Saccharomyces cerevisiae S288C: one gene and its partners. The gene in region 1 interacts genetically with each later gene. Each region holds a gene or a part of one and is shown on either strand. Other genes may lie near its edges. The genes, in order: DMO2, PAM17, PTK1 and CPR8.

Region 1 (3,813 bases):
GTGCCACATTTTCATCCTCGGGGCTCCTGATGTGTCCAGAGCTCAAAGACTGTGAGTTATGATGCATTTATAATAAGCAATGATAAAAAGGACAAAATATCTCTATGTTTTAAAGCGAAGGACAGAAACAATAAATAGCTTTTTCTCTGCAATTTTCTTTTCTTTTCTTCTAAGCAAGCAGCTAAAAATTTCTGATCGTTTTCTTTCGACCGGATCAAAAATGTTTTTATGTGTCCATGTTCTTGCATTTCAATATTTTTGTTTTCTTTTGTTTTGTTTTGTTCCTTCGCTTGTCGCCTCGTTCTGCTGAAAAGCGGGAGAGAAAAAAGGCAGTGCGGGTAACTGAGATGTTTTCATTCTTCCTGCTTTATGGTTCCGGAGTCATCAGTAAAGAGGAATATTTTGCCGCTAGAATTACCACCTGCAATCCAGTTTCGCAGCGGGTGCCAACTAATTACAGCTGGGACAGTAGCTGTGGGTAGGTGAGCCAGTTGCTGGCCTTCGCTGTTGTATATGTCGATGGCGCGCTTCATGTTAGCTATTGCAAAAACATTCTTGTTCGGCTTGAACCTGGCCTTGAGGATGCTTGTCCATCTTCCTGTTTGGCAATTGTGCTGAATCGTTAGTTTGGGCTCCAACTTCGCAGAAAGGTGATCCCTACTCTTGACATCGAATAAGCGGATGGTATCGTCATAGCCATTGCACACTAAGGTGCCATCTGTCGGTGAGTAAGAAACTGCAGAGACGCTCAATCTTGAGTCATATGTGGAGACAATTTCATGACTGGGATAGTCTTCATATTGTGACCACTCTGGCTTTTTAACAAGGTTTCTTGTATCCCAGATTTTGAGTGTTCTATCAAGTGATCCGGTGGCAATCTCGTAGGGTCTCATGGGATTTATTGCCATAGACCCGATCTTCTTGTCTGCGAGTCTTCGCAGATTATACTCTGATTTTTTTACTCTTGTGTCAAACGTGGTGAATTCACCACCTAATGTGGTGAGGAATAAAACATTTGGGTTTTCGTAGCTAAACTGGCAATCGCTGATACCCAGTGAATCGTCATATTCATTTTTCAAGGTGAGAACCTCTTCACTCTGTAAGTTATTCAAGTGAACTGACCTGATGCTTCCGTCGTAAGAGGTGAGCAATATCTTCGATGTGTCCGCAGGGAAGCAATCAATACGGCCGACGTTTTTGGTAAATAGTTTCACTCTGGTGATATCGGGTTCTTCCATTCGGTCCTCTTCGCTGTCAGCTAGTGGTTCATCTCTAACGTTCCAAAAACCCACAGTACCGCTTGTATCACCTGCAATTATTAGCTTTTTTTCCATAGCAGGATGGAAGTAAGTGGCAGAGATTCTTTCGTATGTAATCTTAATTTCGTTCGGTTGAAAAACGTCATATAGATCCAAATCAAATTCGTCCATCCCCGTAACGTCACCCTGTCTCTTTTTTATTTCTTCAAAGAAATCACCAGAAGAAAAGTTTCCGTTATTAAACCTCTTGAATTTCTCTAAAAGGGCACTTTCGTCTTCATCCTTGATCAGATCACTTAATTTCACATCTCCTATTACAGGTTTCTCCTTTATTGCGTCTATAAAATTCTTATCCTGGCCATCTGGAGAACCCATTTTAAGCAACTGATTATCGTTCACATTGGGTATTCCTTTCACATCGTCTGCAGACTCACCCCTTAGCCTTCTTGATCTTCGTGTAGGTAAAGTGGGACTCGCAGACTTGGTTGCTCTGGTATTAGTTGTTTTTTGTTTCTTTTTTGCAGGAGCTCTAGATTTTTCCAACACCCCAGCCTCGTGCTTAATTTGAGATGCTACTCCAGACAAATGGAGTTTTTTCAATAAATCGTTATTCCTTTTGATGTTCTCTAAACGTTTTTTCTGAAATTCTGTTAATTCCGGCATTCTTGACTGAAAAGCAGCTTTCTTTTAATTGCCGTACTAAAATAGATCGCCTATTGTGTACTATTGACGACAAATGCAAGATTAAAGGGTTTTTATCTTCTCTTTAACAATTGTTCAAATATACATTTACCTCTTTTGGCGTTATTATAATTGTAACATGTCAGAAATTGAACATTAACAAAAAACGCGTAATATGGGGTCCTCGGGTGAAAAATTAACGATGGGCTTTTGAAAAAAGGTACGAGCATATAAAGCGAGTACAGTCATTGTGTGCCACCAAGTAGGAAACAAAACACCGCTTAGAGAGAAACAGCAAGTGGTGAAAAACAATGAGTAATATTTTGGCAGTGTTCAACCCTCCACCACAAAGGGAGCTGGAAAAAGAAGAGACTATGGATTGCGTTCCTTGTCAAGTCATGAGCACTATGTTTTCTGTTGGATTTGGCTCATACTTGGCATCTGGGAAACCATTCAAGTATGGTAAAAAAGAAGCCAAAAGAGGCATTTCTCTGACTGAATTTGAAAAAAGAAACCCACAATGGTGGAAAGTAACTTTACGTAGCTTCGGTGGGTTATTAATCGCCTTCGGTTTCGTTAGAGGAACCGAAGGTTGGTTGTGGCATAAAAATAAAGAATATAAGAACTATAAGAAATTAAGTAACGATGGTGAAACACAGGCTAACTAGTATTATTCGCAAGCTTCTCTCAATCGTGAAATTTTCTGTACATAAAGTGCTACTTTGATGATTATTTTTAAAAATATTGTTACATTAGAAAATTGGTTTGTGATTTACATAATCAGGAGAGTCTATATATATATGAATATAGCTTTGAGAAAGGGATGTGAAAAAAAGTGCAATATGTTCCTAACTAATGTTATCGCATGCATTCAATGGGTTGATCTTTCCGATTGTTTCTTTTCTAACTTGGCACGGTCCAAGGCTTCTCTTTTAATTCTCTTGTCTTCCTTTATTTTAGATTTTATTTTTCTACACCAATGTCTAAATTTATCATCTTTAGACGGTGATACGTATTTCATTATAAGATCATGATGTAGCAATTCATGAATCGATGACCTTTCCCTTTCATTCTTAATACAACACCTATTGACAAAATCTGTCATTTCCTTGGAATAGATACGGTCTTTGGGTAATCTTGGTGAAGGCTCGTTGACAATACGTTGCAGCAAATCCAATATGCCATCAGGTGTATCGTTATGCCCACCTAGGGGAAACTCTCCAGTTACCAGCTCGATGATCATTAAGCCCAATGACCAAACGTCCCCTTTGATAGAATAAACGTTTCCTTGTATCCTCTCTGGTGACATATAAGTGGACGTTCCAACAAATGTATCAGCGATAGAATTTATTAGTTTTTTGGAAACTCCAAAATCACATAACTTAATCTGCCCCTTACTATTAATCAGAACATTGGAAGGCTTGATATCACGATGAATGATCTTATATTGTCGGTACAAATGATCCAAGCCATTTAGTACGCCATACGCTATTTTTGATATTGTTAATTCGTTGAACCAGGTTTTCTTACTCGAAACAGTCCCTCTTTGAACAAACCTTTTATAAACGGACAGTATTTTATCTAAAGAACCACAATCAGAGTATTCCATTAAAATTATGATTTCATTATTTATATGCTGGTTATAATAAGCTCCATAGAAGGTGATAATGTTTTCATGGGGCTTAACGTTTTTGACGATAGATAATTCCCTAACTAATTGGTTGATGATTGTACTGTTATTCTGTTCCACAGGAATGGTTTTTTTGGCAACTATTTTGGAATCAGGAACATGTAGTGCCTTCACCACAGTTCCAGAATTTCCAGCACCAATTTTCCCCAACTGAACCAAGTCCTGGAGTTGTATATAATTACC
Region 2 (3,900 bases), on another chromosome or scaffold:
GCCATTTACTTCGAAAATGCGGAGCAACGGCGGGTTACTGGTGTTCCAGCAAGAGCTGTAATAATTCAATATAACTAGTAAGAATAGCCAAGAAAGCCAAAAGACGAGCTTGGATCGATGCGAAAATGTGGTCGCTCCACACCAATTACTAGTTATCATTTAGCGCTGCCGTGTGGCGACTACACTTCAGCGACCTATGTAGCTTACATAATGTCGGGATGATTTCTCCCGCAGCTAGATCTCGCCAATGGAAATTCCAAAGCCAAAGAATATCCTGCTTTGTCAGGAATTTCGTAAACCATGGTCAGGCCCAGATTTGTAGTTTTCTTTACCAACGACAGCGATGAGTTATTTGGTCCTGAGTACTGAGTAATATGACTCTCTTGGCATCCAGGGGCCGGCCCAAGCCGGCTGTTACCAATTTAGGAAAGGACCCTGGAGCGAAAAGTACTTAAGCAGAGACTATTGTACACGCTCGCTAACTCAAGAACATGAATTTCGCATTCATGCAGACGCAAACACACACGTATATCTACAATTATGACTACTGCTGTTAGGCTTTTACCTTCACTGGGCAGAACCGCCCATAAGAGGTCTCTCTACCTGTTCTCCGCTGCTGCTGCTGCTGCTGCTGCTGCAACTTTTGCTTACTCGCAATCCCAAAAGAGATCATCGTCTTCTCCCGGGGGTGGTAGTAACCACGGATGGAACAACTGGGGGAAGGCAGCTGCTTTGGCTTCCACTACACCGCTCGTTCATGTCGCCTCTGTCGAAAAAGGGAGGTCATACGAGGACTTCCAAAAGGTGTACAATGCGATTGCACTCAAGCTGAGGGAAGATGACGAATATGACAACTATATAGGCTATGGGCCCGTATTAGTCCGTCTTGCTTGGCACACTTCAGGGACCTGGGACAAGCACGACAATACAGGCGGGTCATACGGTGGTACATACAGATTCAAAAAGGAGTTTAACGATCCATCCAATGCGGGCTTGCAGAATGGCTTCAAGTTCCTGGAGCCCATTCACAAAGAGTTTCCCTGGATCTCCTCGGGTGATCTGTTCAGTCTAGGGGGTGTCACTGCCGTGCAGGAAATGCAGGGTCCCAAGATTCCATGGAGATGTGGTAGAGTCGACACGCCAGAGGATACTACCCCTGACAACGGGAGACTGCCTGACGCTGATAAAGACGCTGACTATGTCAGAACATTTTTTCAAAGACTTAATATGAATGACAGAGAAGTAGTTGCTCTTATGGGGGCTCACGCTCTGGGCAAGACCCACTTGAAGAACTCTGGATACGAAGGGCCATGGGGAGCCGCTAACAACGTCTTTACCAATGAGTTTTACTTGAACTTGCTGAATGAAGACTGGAAATTGGAAAAGAACGACGCGAACAACGAACAGTGGGACTCTAAGAGCGGCTACATGATGCTGCCCACTGATTATTCTTTGATTCAGGATCCCAAGTACTTAAGCATTGTGAAAGAATACGCTAATGACCAGGACAAGTTCTTCAAGGATTTTTCCAAAGCTTTTGAAAAACTGTTGGAGAACGGTATCACTTTCCCTAAAGACGCGCCCAGTCCATTTATTTTCAAGACTTTAGAGGAACAAGGTTTATAGGTCACTGAGGAAAGATATTATTTATTGGTTATATTTCGTATTATTTATCTATTTATTATATTTATTATTATTTAGGCTTATGCTTTTTTCTGAATATCATCTAATACGTTTGTACGGTACGTCTATGAAAAATGGAAAGCCATACAATGGTATATCATAAGGGAAACTATGTTCAAAGAAGTGTTAAAAACATTCAGAAAACATTGTCCGCCTCTTCAAAATGTTTACCAGTGCCATTAGATTGTCATCGCAAAGACTGTTCGCTAGTCAACCTTCTGTCACCGCTGCGGCATTGCGCTCGACTGCTACAACCTTACCCTTAAGATCATATTCTCAGCCCGCATCCCTTCAAGACTCCAGTATCTTGACATGGTCTGATTTTTTCAAATTGAGGAAACAGCAGCGTAGAATCAATGTTGGTTCTTCGCTGTTTACTGCTCTTTTGGGCTGTAACGTTTCATGGGCTTACCTTTCCACAATGGAAATAGACCCGACTCAAATGCTATTCGGATTCGACCCATTAACTGTAATTTCAGCTGGGATAATAGCCTCTGGTGCACTAGGCTACTTGTTGGGTCCGATAGTTGGTTCGCAAGTTTTCAAACTTTCCCATAACCAACAATTGGCACAGTTCAACAACAAAAATAAAGAGTTTCTAAAACATATCATCAATAACAGGGTCGATGCCTCTTCTCAAAGTTTCAGTAATCCTGTTCCAGATTATTACGGTGAAAAGATAGGTTCCTTAAAGGAATATAAGCAATGGTTAAGAGATTGTCACGCTTACGCAAAGAAAGCCAAAGAATTTTTGTGATTGAACGTGTGATCTTTTCCTTCTTCTCAGACTCTGTATATATACATATATGAATAAAGTAGTGCGATATATAACGCTACTAAATAATTCGAATGAAATAGGGAGGAAGTGAAAGGTATGAATATTGTATATGTCCTATACGTCTCTTTTATCTCTGACTTTAAAAAAATGATACGAAATCCACAGGATCAAAAATATCTTCAATCACGTCAAACTCTGAGACAATTAAATCATTAACAGGCAAAGCGGGTGCTAAAGGTTGTTGTAGTAGTTCTTTTTGCGGAATTTCAGCTACTTGTTCATTCGTAATGCTTATGTTGGTATCAACTTCAGTATGTTTAGCTAATTGTGAACTGGCGTGATCATAAAAGGATGAAAAAATATTAAACCTGTCGGAATATTTCTCCATATCCAAGAATTCTTGCATTTCCTTTATGCGCATTTGAAACTTAAATCCTGTCATATCATCGTTGTATTTACCTATGGGATAAAACTCATTGTTCCATATACTTAGAATATCTGGCCTATACCCATCATATTTTTGTACTGTCTCCTGAAATTCTAGTATTATTGGACAGATGTCATTTAATCTCATATCGTTGTAATCTATATAACTATCACCGTTATCTTCTAGTTTCAATTCATTCAGCAAAAATTTTAAAATAATTCTCCATGCATCTTTTTCACATGAGCGATTCAAGATCTTGTAGGCAATTTTAGCGGTGAACATTTTTCTAAAACAACGATAGTACTCAAAGCCAAATTCGTTAAAATACACAGACGAGACCCCGTAAAGAAATTCTATCATTTTCTTCTTGTCGGCGTACTGAATTGTTTTGAAGCGGTCTCCTCTGAGAATGAATGCCGGAACAATGACCAAAACTTTGTTTGCGACAATTTCCACGATTCTATTGGTATAAAACTTTGTCAATGAATCCACCTCTAAGGCATCACTGTTAAAAAAGTAATTGTAGCACTTCTCTGAGATATGAATGACCATATCCCACAAATCTTGGAAACTCTTATAAAATTTTGTAATATTGCAGTCATATTCATAAAAGATCATTTCTCCGTGCAGCAAACTTAGTGAGAATAAATCTATTATCCATTCCATTTCGAAATCAAAATGACGCATTGTTTCTTTTTCGTTTTTCGACAGGCTTTTTAAAATATGAAAGTTTCTTTTTAAATCATTTATTAGTCGGTGCAACAAGTTCAAATCTACCTTTCCTGGATCATCGTTCAACGTATCGTTTATCTTTTTCATCAAGTTATCCAGGGTTAACATTCGTATATACCATGTGGGTGTATCTGCTTCTTCTTTGAAATGGCACTGCAAGGTTTTCCCAATTTGACATTCTTCACCGCTAATAAAACACATCTTCCTGTCCCAAAATAAAACATAACTCCATATCTTTCTGAAAACTGAAATGTAATCGCTAGGTTTCATTATATCGTAT
Region 3 (5,075 bases), on another chromosome or scaffold:
TTTTGTTATTGGTATGGTCCTTCTTTGATTGTGTTGGATAACGTTGAGGCTCTATTTGGAAAACCTCAAGCCAATGACGGAGATCCTTCTAATAATGGCCAATGGGATAATGCAAGCAAACTTTTGAATTTTTTCATCAATCAGGTGACAAAGATATTTAACAAGGATAATAAACGAATCAGAGTTTTATTTTCAGGCAAGCAGAAAACTCAAATTAATCCGCTATTGTTTGATAAGCATTTTGTTTCAGAGACGTGGTCTTTGAGAGCACCTGACAAACATGCAAGAGCGAAGTTACTGGAGTATTTTTTCTCGAAAAACCAGATCATGAAACTAAATCGAGATTTGCAATTCAGTGATTTGTCGTTGGAGACAGAAGGATTTTCGCCACTAGATTTGGAAATATTCACAGAAAAGATTTTCTACGACTTGCAGTTGGAAAGAGATTGTGATAATGTTGTAACAAGGGAACTTTTTTCGAAGTCGCTTAGTGCGTTTACACCATCTGCGTTGCGTGGAGTAAAGCTAACAAAAGAAACGAACATCAAATGGGGGGATATTGGTGCTTTAGCAAATGCCAAAGATGTCCTTCTAGAAACCTTAGAGTGGCCCACAAAATATGAGCCTATTTTCGTTAATTGTCCCCTAAGATTGAGATCAGGAATCTTGCTTTACGGTTATCCTGGTTGTGGTAAAACGCTTCTGGCGAGCGCCGTGGCACAACAATGTGGGTTAAACTTTATCTCCGTTAAGGGACCAGAGATTTTAAACAAGTTTATAGGTGCCAGCGAACAAAACATAAGAGAATTGTTTGAAAGGGCACAGTCCGTCAAACCCTGTATTCTATTTTTTGACGAGTTCGATTCTATTGCGCCAAAGAGAGGGCATGACTCCACTGGTGTCACAGACCGTGTAGTCAATCAATTATTGACCCAAATGGATGGTGCCGAGGGCCTTGATGGTGTATATATACTAGCAGCTACAAGTAGACCTGATTTGATTGATAGCGCATTGTTAAGACCGGGAAGATTAGACAAAAGTGTGATCTGTAATATACCGACTGAATCAGAGAGGTTAGATATCTTGCAAGCTATCGTCAATTCAAAAGACAAGGATACGGGACAAAAAAAATTTGCATTGGAGAAAAATGCAGACTTGAAGTTGATCGCTGAAAAGACAGCTGGTTTTTCGGGTGCTGATTTACAGGGGCTCTGCTACAATGCTTATTTGAAATCTGTACATAGGTGGCTGTCTGCTGCAGACCAATCGGAAGTGGTACCCGGCAATGATAATATAGAATACTTCAGTATCAATGAGCACGGGCGTAGAGAAGAAAATAGACTACGGCTAAAGACTCTATTGCAGCAAGATGTGGTGCACGAGACAAAGACAAGCACTTCAGCTGCTTCTGAGCTGACAGCTGTGGTCACAATAAACGATTTATTGGAAGCCTGTCAAGAGACAAAACCTAGTATTTCAACAAGTGAGTTGGTCAAATTAAGGGGGATTTACGATAGGTTCCAGAAGGATAGGAACGGTGAGATGCCCAATGGTGAGAATTCCATCGACATTGGTAGCCGACTCTCCCTTATGTGAAAAGGAAGAAGAAAAGAACAAAGCGCGTTTCCCTTTAAAGGGCAAAAAATGCGGCGCACGTTGCTTATTACGTGACATGACCCTATTGTATTGTGCGAGCACGCAGGACGGGAAAAATATTGGTGAAATTACATAACGCATTTTTTTTCCCTTGTGGTGAAAAGGAAAAACCCGAGAAATATGCCAGTAACAGTGGAGACCGGTCAAGATGTATTGAACGAAATCCGAAGTTGCATATATAACATAAATGCCTGCTACCTTTTGATACTTAATTCTTCTTAGCACCTATACGCTTTTTTTTTCATTTTTCCTTATCTTTTCTTTTTCTCGCAGAAGTCTATACAAAGAAGAAATATATATATATCTATTTCTTTTTTTTTTCAACCGTATACCACCGGCAACAAACCTCCATGTATTCATAGGCCCTGCATTACATCAAGAAATATTAGCATAAACGTATAGACCATTTTAACGCCACAGGCAAGCATACGCATTAAATCGCACCACCAACCAATGACAGTCTCACACAATCATTCTACGAAGATATCCCAACAACCAATCTCCTCGGTATCAGCATTTAAGTTCTTCGGAAAGAAGCTGTTAAGTTCAAGCCATGGGAACAAGTTGAAGAAAAAGGCGTCTCTACCTCCAGACTTCCACTCTACAAGTACTAATGACAGCGAATCCTCCAGCCCAAAACTGCCGAATTCGTTGAAAACCTCTCGCCGTGCAAACTCTTTCGCTCACACAACCAACAGCAAGAGATCTTTATCTTCCGCCTCAACCAAGATCCTACCTCCGGCCGGCTCCAGCACGTCCATCTCAAGAGGAAACAGACATTCGTCCACTTCGCGTAATCTCTCAAACTCCAAGTTCAGTAGCGAACGATTAGTGTACAATCCATACGGCGTCTCAACCCCAAGCACGTCACTCTCGTCCGTCTCTACCTCCATGAAGAAAGACCCTGATCTGGGCTTCTACCTTCACGATGGGGATTCCAAAATCCGCATGCTGCCGATCCCAATTGTGGACCCAAACGAGTATCTGCCCGACGAGATGAAGGAGGCAAGCATCCAGTTGAGCGATAACTTCGTCTTTGATGATGAGAATAAGACCATCGGATGGGGCGGTTCGTGCGAAGTGCGCAAGATCCGCTCCAAGTACCGCAAGAAGGACGTATTTGCTCTAAAGAAGCTCAATATGATCTATAATGAAACGCCCGAGAAATTCTACAAGCGCTGCTCAAAGGAGTTTATCATCGCAAAGCAGCTAAGTCATCATGTTCACATCACAAATACTTTCCTTCTAGTCAAGGTGCCCACCACCGTCTACACCACTCGCGGGTGGGGGTTCGTCATGGAGCTAGGTCTACGAGATTTGTTCGCGATGATACAAAAATCGGGCTGGCGCAGCGTGGCCCTAGCAGAAAAGTTTTGTATATTCAAACAGGTGGCGTGTGGTGTCAAGTTTTGCCACGATCAGGGCATCGCCCACCGTGATTTGAAACCGGAAAATGTACTGCTATCCCCGGACGGCGTGTGCAAGCTGACAGATTTTGGTATCTCAGACTGGTACCACACGGATCCACACGACCTGTCCAGCCCTGTCAAGAAGTGCGCAGGGATGATCGGCTCGCCGCCGTATGCTCCCCCGGAGGTCATGTTCTACGACTCCAAGAAGCACTACGATACGGAATTGCAACAGCCGTATGACCCACGCGCTCTAGACTGTTATGGCCTGGGTATTATCCTCATGACCCTCGTCAACAACGTCATTCCATTTTTGGAATCCTGCAGCTTCGACACTGGTTTCCGCGATTACTGTGACGCTTATGAAAACTTTATCCGTCTTCACGATCGCGCATTCCGCAATCGCGGCAATTACCGCCCGGGGCCGGGAATGGAGTATCACTTGGCTAGAAATTTCAAGAACGGACATGCATCTCGCGTGGCATGGCGGCTCGCTGACCCAGAAGCCGCCACCCGCTACACCATCGACGACCTCTTCGAAGACCCATGGTTCCAAGGAATTGAGACTTGTGTTGATGCCAACGACAAATATGTGTGTAAGAAACCTATTATCAAAACCACTACGTACGAGAATCCGCGGGGTTTCCATATCGCTACAGATGTTGCTGCAACCACACCCACCTCAAACCCATTCCTTAAGAACCGAGTCCCCATCAGGTCAATGGTAGATATAGCCGCCCATCCTTCCCCAACGGCCACGGTTTTAGCGTCGTCGCCTCCGCCGCCTCCTCCGGCGACTCATGTGCCAGCCGAGGCCTTATTTACACTTAGGGAAACCCCGCCGCCCCAGCTAGCAACCCTCACGCTTAGCGAAGAACCTCCCGCAACTCCCGCACCTTCCGCACCTTCCGCACCTTCCGCTCGCGTCCGTGGCCACTCCCCGCACAGGGTAGTGCATCACCATCTGAACATTGTCAACAGCTTGGTCCATAGTTCTAGCGCGGCGTCTTCTCAAGTTCCGGCTTCGACCTAGCCAGAATGTGCAGCAGAGTAAATAATATTCACTTCCCTGTTCCTAAAGCGTACAATATACAACTCCAACTTCATATCAACTACCAGAAACAGTAACATACGTAATAGTTATTTTCTATATTTTTATTTTTTTTTTGCCACTGACCAGTCTTCGCGGCGGTGTGAGTTTCCGTCTGTACGCAGCATTTAGCAGAGATTTGCCAATGCCAAGAAACTCCGCTAAACTAACATCGCGATGCAATGGGCTTGGTATTCCGTGGAAGAAAATGAAAACCGGCGCAAAGAATCCTCCGAGAAAATTTGATGCGGTGCACGGATTTCAGCACGGGTTTCAGCACGGATTTTATTTCTTTGCACCCCGCAAATTTCTGGGCGATGATAAACATACCGCATCTAAAACCGTATACAGACTACGGCACAGAAGCCAAGACTAACAAAAAAAAAAAAAAAAAAAAAAAAGAAAAAAGAAAAATGTCACGTGTTATTCCTTGTGCCCTCTGACCTACGTAGTTACTTGCGTGGCTTCAAATTTGATATCAGCTCTCGAGACGTCCTGATCTCTATACCTTATTGCTTGCTTTAGGTTGAGGCAATAAAGAAATAATTACATCTTTGGTTCTTTCCCCCTTTTTATATATCTGCAACAATATTAAACAATTAAATTAAAGAAGCACGTTTCCGTTTTTTATCATATACCATTCCCCTAACCGCCGAACTCACCGCATCACAACGTCACTATTCCTTCACACAAATAAACTAATTAGTTATGCTTCAGCGAATATCATCTAAACTTCACAGGCGGTTCTTATCTGGCCTGCTGCGTGTCAAGCACTACCCATTAAGGCGCATTCTCCTTCCACTGATTCTACTGCAGATCATCATTATAACGTTTATCTGGTCAAATTCACCGCAGCGTAACGGACTTGGGCGGGACGCTGATTACCTTCTACCAAATTACAACGAACTTGACAGTGATGA
Region 4 (4,191 bases), on another chromosome or scaffold:
AATCACTTCCAAGCTAGAACCGGTGATATAAGCAACAACCTTACCATCAGTGGAAAAGTGTAAATCCTTTACTTCACCCCTAGTCTCGATCTCAAACTTCTCTGTCAAGTCGCTCGGGTCAATGATTCTCATTATAGCAGGTACTTTAGATGATGCGATAGCTGCAACGGTACCTTCTCGTGAAATATAAACCAGCTTCGTGTAGTCATCCGCATTTGTAGATGCGTCAAAGTCTACACTAGTGAGGAACTCCAATTGATCATTCACTTTATCGTATTTAAATTTTCTCAAGTGCTTATTACCTTTACCTTGGGTAATCTTAGTGCTATTTTCATTGCAGCCAACCAAAATGATACCCTTGGAAGCGTCAATTGCAGTAGGAGAGTCGTCGTTGTCTTCCAATGCAAACTCGCTCAATATATGAAACTGTTCCTTCTCAGTATCTTTGGTAGGATCCACGCGCAAGACCGTCAGCTTGTTTGGTATGCCATTGTTTCCTTCTCCTCCACCGCCTGCCACAAGTAATGTGTCGTTATTCAAAAATTTTGCACCGTACGCAGGATACCCGACGTTATAACTAGCTGTCACGAACTTCATAGTGGCTCGATTGTATCTCAACCTTGTTATATATCTGTATTTCTATCACGTATCCTTCTAGGTTTCTGTACACGTTTTTGAATTTTTTGGATTTTTTTTTTTTCAACTTTTCTTTTTTCCCTCATTCTTACTCTATTGTCATCACCATTCAAGATAAAGATAATAACTAGCTTTGAGAAATTAGACCAGACGCAGTGGAAGGTTGAATACATGCCTGTGTGAGGGTGGTGCCAATGACCAGTACATTACATACGACAAAAAAAGTGCTCTCCATTCAATCACACGTCATACATGGCTACGTGGGAAACAAGGCCGCTACGTTCCCACTTCAATACAGAGGTTGGGATGTGGACGTATTGAACACAGTTCAGTTTTCTAACCACTCGGGGTACGCCCACTTCACAGGCTTCAAATGCAGCACTGAGGAGTTGGTAGACATTGTAGAGAAGGGCTTGATTGGGTCTCTTAGAATCAAGTATGATGCCGTACTTAGTGGCTATTTACCCAATGTTCAAGCCCTGCAAAAGGTAGCAGGAATAGTGGGTCAATTATGTGAGGGGAGTGAAAACGTCAAGTGGATATTAGATCCTGTACTGGGCGATAATGGAAGGCTGTACGTGGATCGAGAATGTGTTGCGGTATACCAAGACATTTTACAAAACTTCAAAATTTTTTTGGCCACACCAAATCAGTTTGAAATGGAACTGTTGGTGGGGATGTCAATTCGTACCTTAGACGACGCTAAGCAGGCATTTAAACTATTTCATAAAAAGTACCCTCGAGTAAGCCGAATAGTTGTCACTAGTCTGGAATTATCTGAATTCCTGAGCAACGACACTTACGTAGTAGCAGGGTTTGATTGCTCGGCCAGTGAAGAGATATTCTTCTATGAAATCCCCAAGATCAACGCAAAATTTAGTGGAAGTGGTGATTTAATCAGCGCCATGCTCACTGACTCGTTACTAGGCGACCGCCGCTGCACACAGCTGTCATTAAGCGCATCCTTGGGCCAAGTGCTGTGGCTCGTCACCAGTATCCTACAAAAAACGTATGATTTAAACATAGCTGAGCGGGGCCCACAAGATTCCACGATAGATATCAAGGATTTAAAGCTGATTCAGTGTAGAGACATCCTAAAGCAAGATCTCATACCCTCCATTGGCAAGCCAAAAACCATTAAAATATGATTCTTACGAAACGGTATGCTCCTTCCTCATTGGGGTGCGGCTGCTGCAGGAACCTGCCTAAATAGGAAAATACATTCCTGATTTGGAAACTGTAGGCACACGACGCGTCCCTTTGGAGAAGATCGATCCTTCTTTGGGTCTTTCAATTTGATTGGAAAAAAAATATTTAAAAAAATAGAAGAAAAATATAGAATATATAGAATATATAGAATCAACTACTGCAGTAGATAAATAAAGAAGACTATTCATATTCAGTATCACAATTGAAAGATTATTACAATTTGTATACATTGGTTCCCAATGAAGAGCTTTTTTCTTTATCTTTATGTGGCATTCATGTTTAGTTGCATAACGGCTCTGCCATTACCTGTGGATAACAAAAGGGCTTCTTCAGACTCCTTAGACCTAAAGAAAAAATACGCACCAGACCCTCCTATTACACATAATGTAAACATCGGAATTGTTTTCACAGATCCTGAAAGTTCGGAAGAAGCCGGCCGTCTCATAACAATAGACTTATACGGGACTATGGTGCCCAAGACAGTAATGACTTTTTGCCAGTATGTTGATAGTGTAAAAGATCGCCTTGCTTCCCGTCACAGTTACTCGCCAGAACGCGATTTTGATAAAATTCTACCGAATGGAGCTATAGAAGGTAGCTCCGTTTCTTCCTCCTCTATTGAAGAAACGGAAATGTTGGCTCCAAAACTCCCGGAAGAAAATCATAGTTTAATTCATGATAGGCCAGGCAGAGTTTCCATGATTAAGGACGATAAGGGTCTTAAGTTTATAATTGAGACCAGTGAGACGCCACTTGAAGGTGAAAGTGTTGTGTTTGGCCAAGTTACCGCCGGGTTAAAAGATCTGATGGATAAACTAGCTAATGTGAAAACTGACGAAAATGGCAAACCAGAGCAACCAATAACAATAGGTTACATTTCATCCCAGGAACACAGGATTCAGCATGCAAAGGAAGCTCACGAAAAGTATTTACAAAGGCTTCAAGATTACCAAAACGGCGATTTGGAGAAAGGTATTACATTGAAGAATTATTTATACCAGGGTAGTCAAAGAAAGTTAGAAGACGCAAAATATAATCAGCTTCACCATCCTTTACCAAAGATTATGCTTGGTATTTCGGTATTGTTACTTTTCTACGTTTTGGCCAAGTACAGGAAAAGAATATTCAACAGATCGTCTAAAATAGTTTCTATTAGAGAGGATTAAAATGTTTCGATCCATCCGCTTAATATTCATTCATTTTGTATCACATACATACGTATAAATATACATAACTTACCTCGTCTTTATTATGCCAACCATCATTCCAGGGTTTTACGTAACAGTTCCTCTATGGATTCCTTTTCTAGGTACTTCCCAATCAGCACAATTTTACACTCTTTATTGGATCCGTCATATTTGCCTGGAAAGACATCGTAGGTGTCGCGGACGCCTTGGATTACACGAGCAATGGGGTTCTCTCCTTCAATAAGTATCAGACCTTTAGTTCTTTGTACTTCCCAATCACGGCCGTCATCTCGGCGACGCCCTCCCAGCACTGTCATGGCTCCAAAATTCTTCCACAATAAAGGTTGCAAAAATTGCTTAATAAACTTATTATTATATTCTTCCTCGTTTTTTAATGGTCTGAAAGTAAGCATTATTGTGCCCATTCGATCATCATGAATGGTACCGTTTCCGCTACCACTATCTAAGATGTCAGATATCCGTACACTGTCGTATGCATGAATATCTAGTAAATTTTGAATCGGCGTATCACTATACTTGGTGAAGAACATCGGTGCGATAGAATTTATTTCCCGTACTCTTTCTTTTAATTGTTTGACCATTTCTGGTGAATGTTCGATAGTATCGTATTTGTTCATTATAATTCGATCAGCCATGGCTAGTTGGAAGTGTGCAATAGTCAGATTCCCCTCCAAACCAACTTTGTCACCATGCCAATGGGCATCGATGGAAATATCATCTAAGCATTTTAGTATATGCTCACAATCCAAAACCGTGATGATCCCGTCAATGTAAACGCTGCTATTCAATCCTTCGTCCTGCCAGAACATTTTCGCAATGGGGGCGGGATCTGCAATACCGGAGGTCTCTAAAAGGATATAATCGATTTTACCAGGTGAACGCTCCACCATATCTTCGATGGCTTTAACACCTATATTTTTCAACGAACAACACAGACACCCGTTACCCAAATCCAACCATTCTTGGTAGCTGTTCGATCCATTTTTAATGGTCATAGCCTTTTCGATTTCACTAGAATCTCCAAATTCATTTAAAATTACGGCAATTTTTTTATCTGCACCTTTTAATGCAATTTTTTCCAGCAACGTCGATTTACCTGATCCTAGATAGCCGGTAATAATGCTCACAGGAATACGCT

The links.
Region 2: mutations in DMO2 (region 1) and PAM17 impair growth when combined (synthetic growth defect), as found in Saccharomyces cerevisiae (2 studies listed by BioGRID, with this or other methods).
Region 3: mutations in DMO2 (region 1) and PTK1 together harm fitness more than expected from each alone (negative genetic interaction), as found in Saccharomyces cerevisiae (2 studies listed by BioGRID).
Region 4: mutations in DMO2 (region 1) and CPR8 together harm fitness more than expected from each alone (negative genetic interaction), as found in Saccharomyces cerevisiae (2 studies listed by BioGRID).

What each region holds. Positions count from the first base shown.
Region 1 is NC_001136.10:173,027-176,839, reverse strand, and holds DMO2 (Dmo2p), read left to right. Parts: upstream 1-2,251; coding exon 2,252-2,608; downstream 2,609-3,813. Other genes in the region: B-type cyclin CLB3, read right to left, coding at 1-67; CMR1 (Cmr1p), read right to left, coding at 354-1,922; mitogen-activated protein kinase kinase STE7, read right to left, coding at 2,812-3,813.
Region 2 is NC_001143.9:563,839-567,738, reverse strand, and holds PAM17 (Pam17p), read left to right. Parts: upstream 1-1,846; coding exon 1,847-2,440; downstream 2,441-3,900. Other genes in the region: CCP1 (cytochrome-c peroxidase), read left to right, coding at 541-1,626; OAF3 (Oaf3p), read right to left, coding at 2,601-3,900. UniProt on the Saccharomyces cerevisiae protein: Component of the PAM complex, a complex required for the translocation of transit peptide-containing proteins from the inner membrane into the mitochondrial matrix in an ATP-dependent manner.
Region 3 is NC_001143.9:67,255-72,329, reverse strand, and holds PTK1 (putative serine/threonine protein kinase PTK1), read left to right. Parts: upstream 1-2,109; coding exon 2,110-4,098; downstream 4,099-5,075. Other genes in the region: PEX1 (AAA family ATPase peroxin 1), read left to right, coding at 1-1,596; MNN4 (Mnn4p), read left to right, coding at 4,864-5,075. UniProt on the Saccharomyces cerevisiae protein: Essential determinant for low-affinity spermidine transport.
Region 4 is NC_001146.8:674,093-678,283, forward strand, and holds CPR8 (peptidylprolyl isomerase family protein CPR8), read left to right. Parts: upstream 1-2,084; coding exon 2,085-3,011; downstream 3,012-4,191. Other genes in the region: Sar family guanine nucleotide exchange factor SEC12, read right to left, coding at 1-597; putative pyridoxal kinase BUD17, read left to right, coding at 831-1,784; ZNG1 (GTP-dependent zinc transferase), read right to left, coding at 3,107-4,191. UniProt on the Saccharomyces cerevisiae protein: PPIases accelerate the folding of proteins. It catalyzes the cis-trans isomerization of proline imidic peptide bonds in oligopeptides.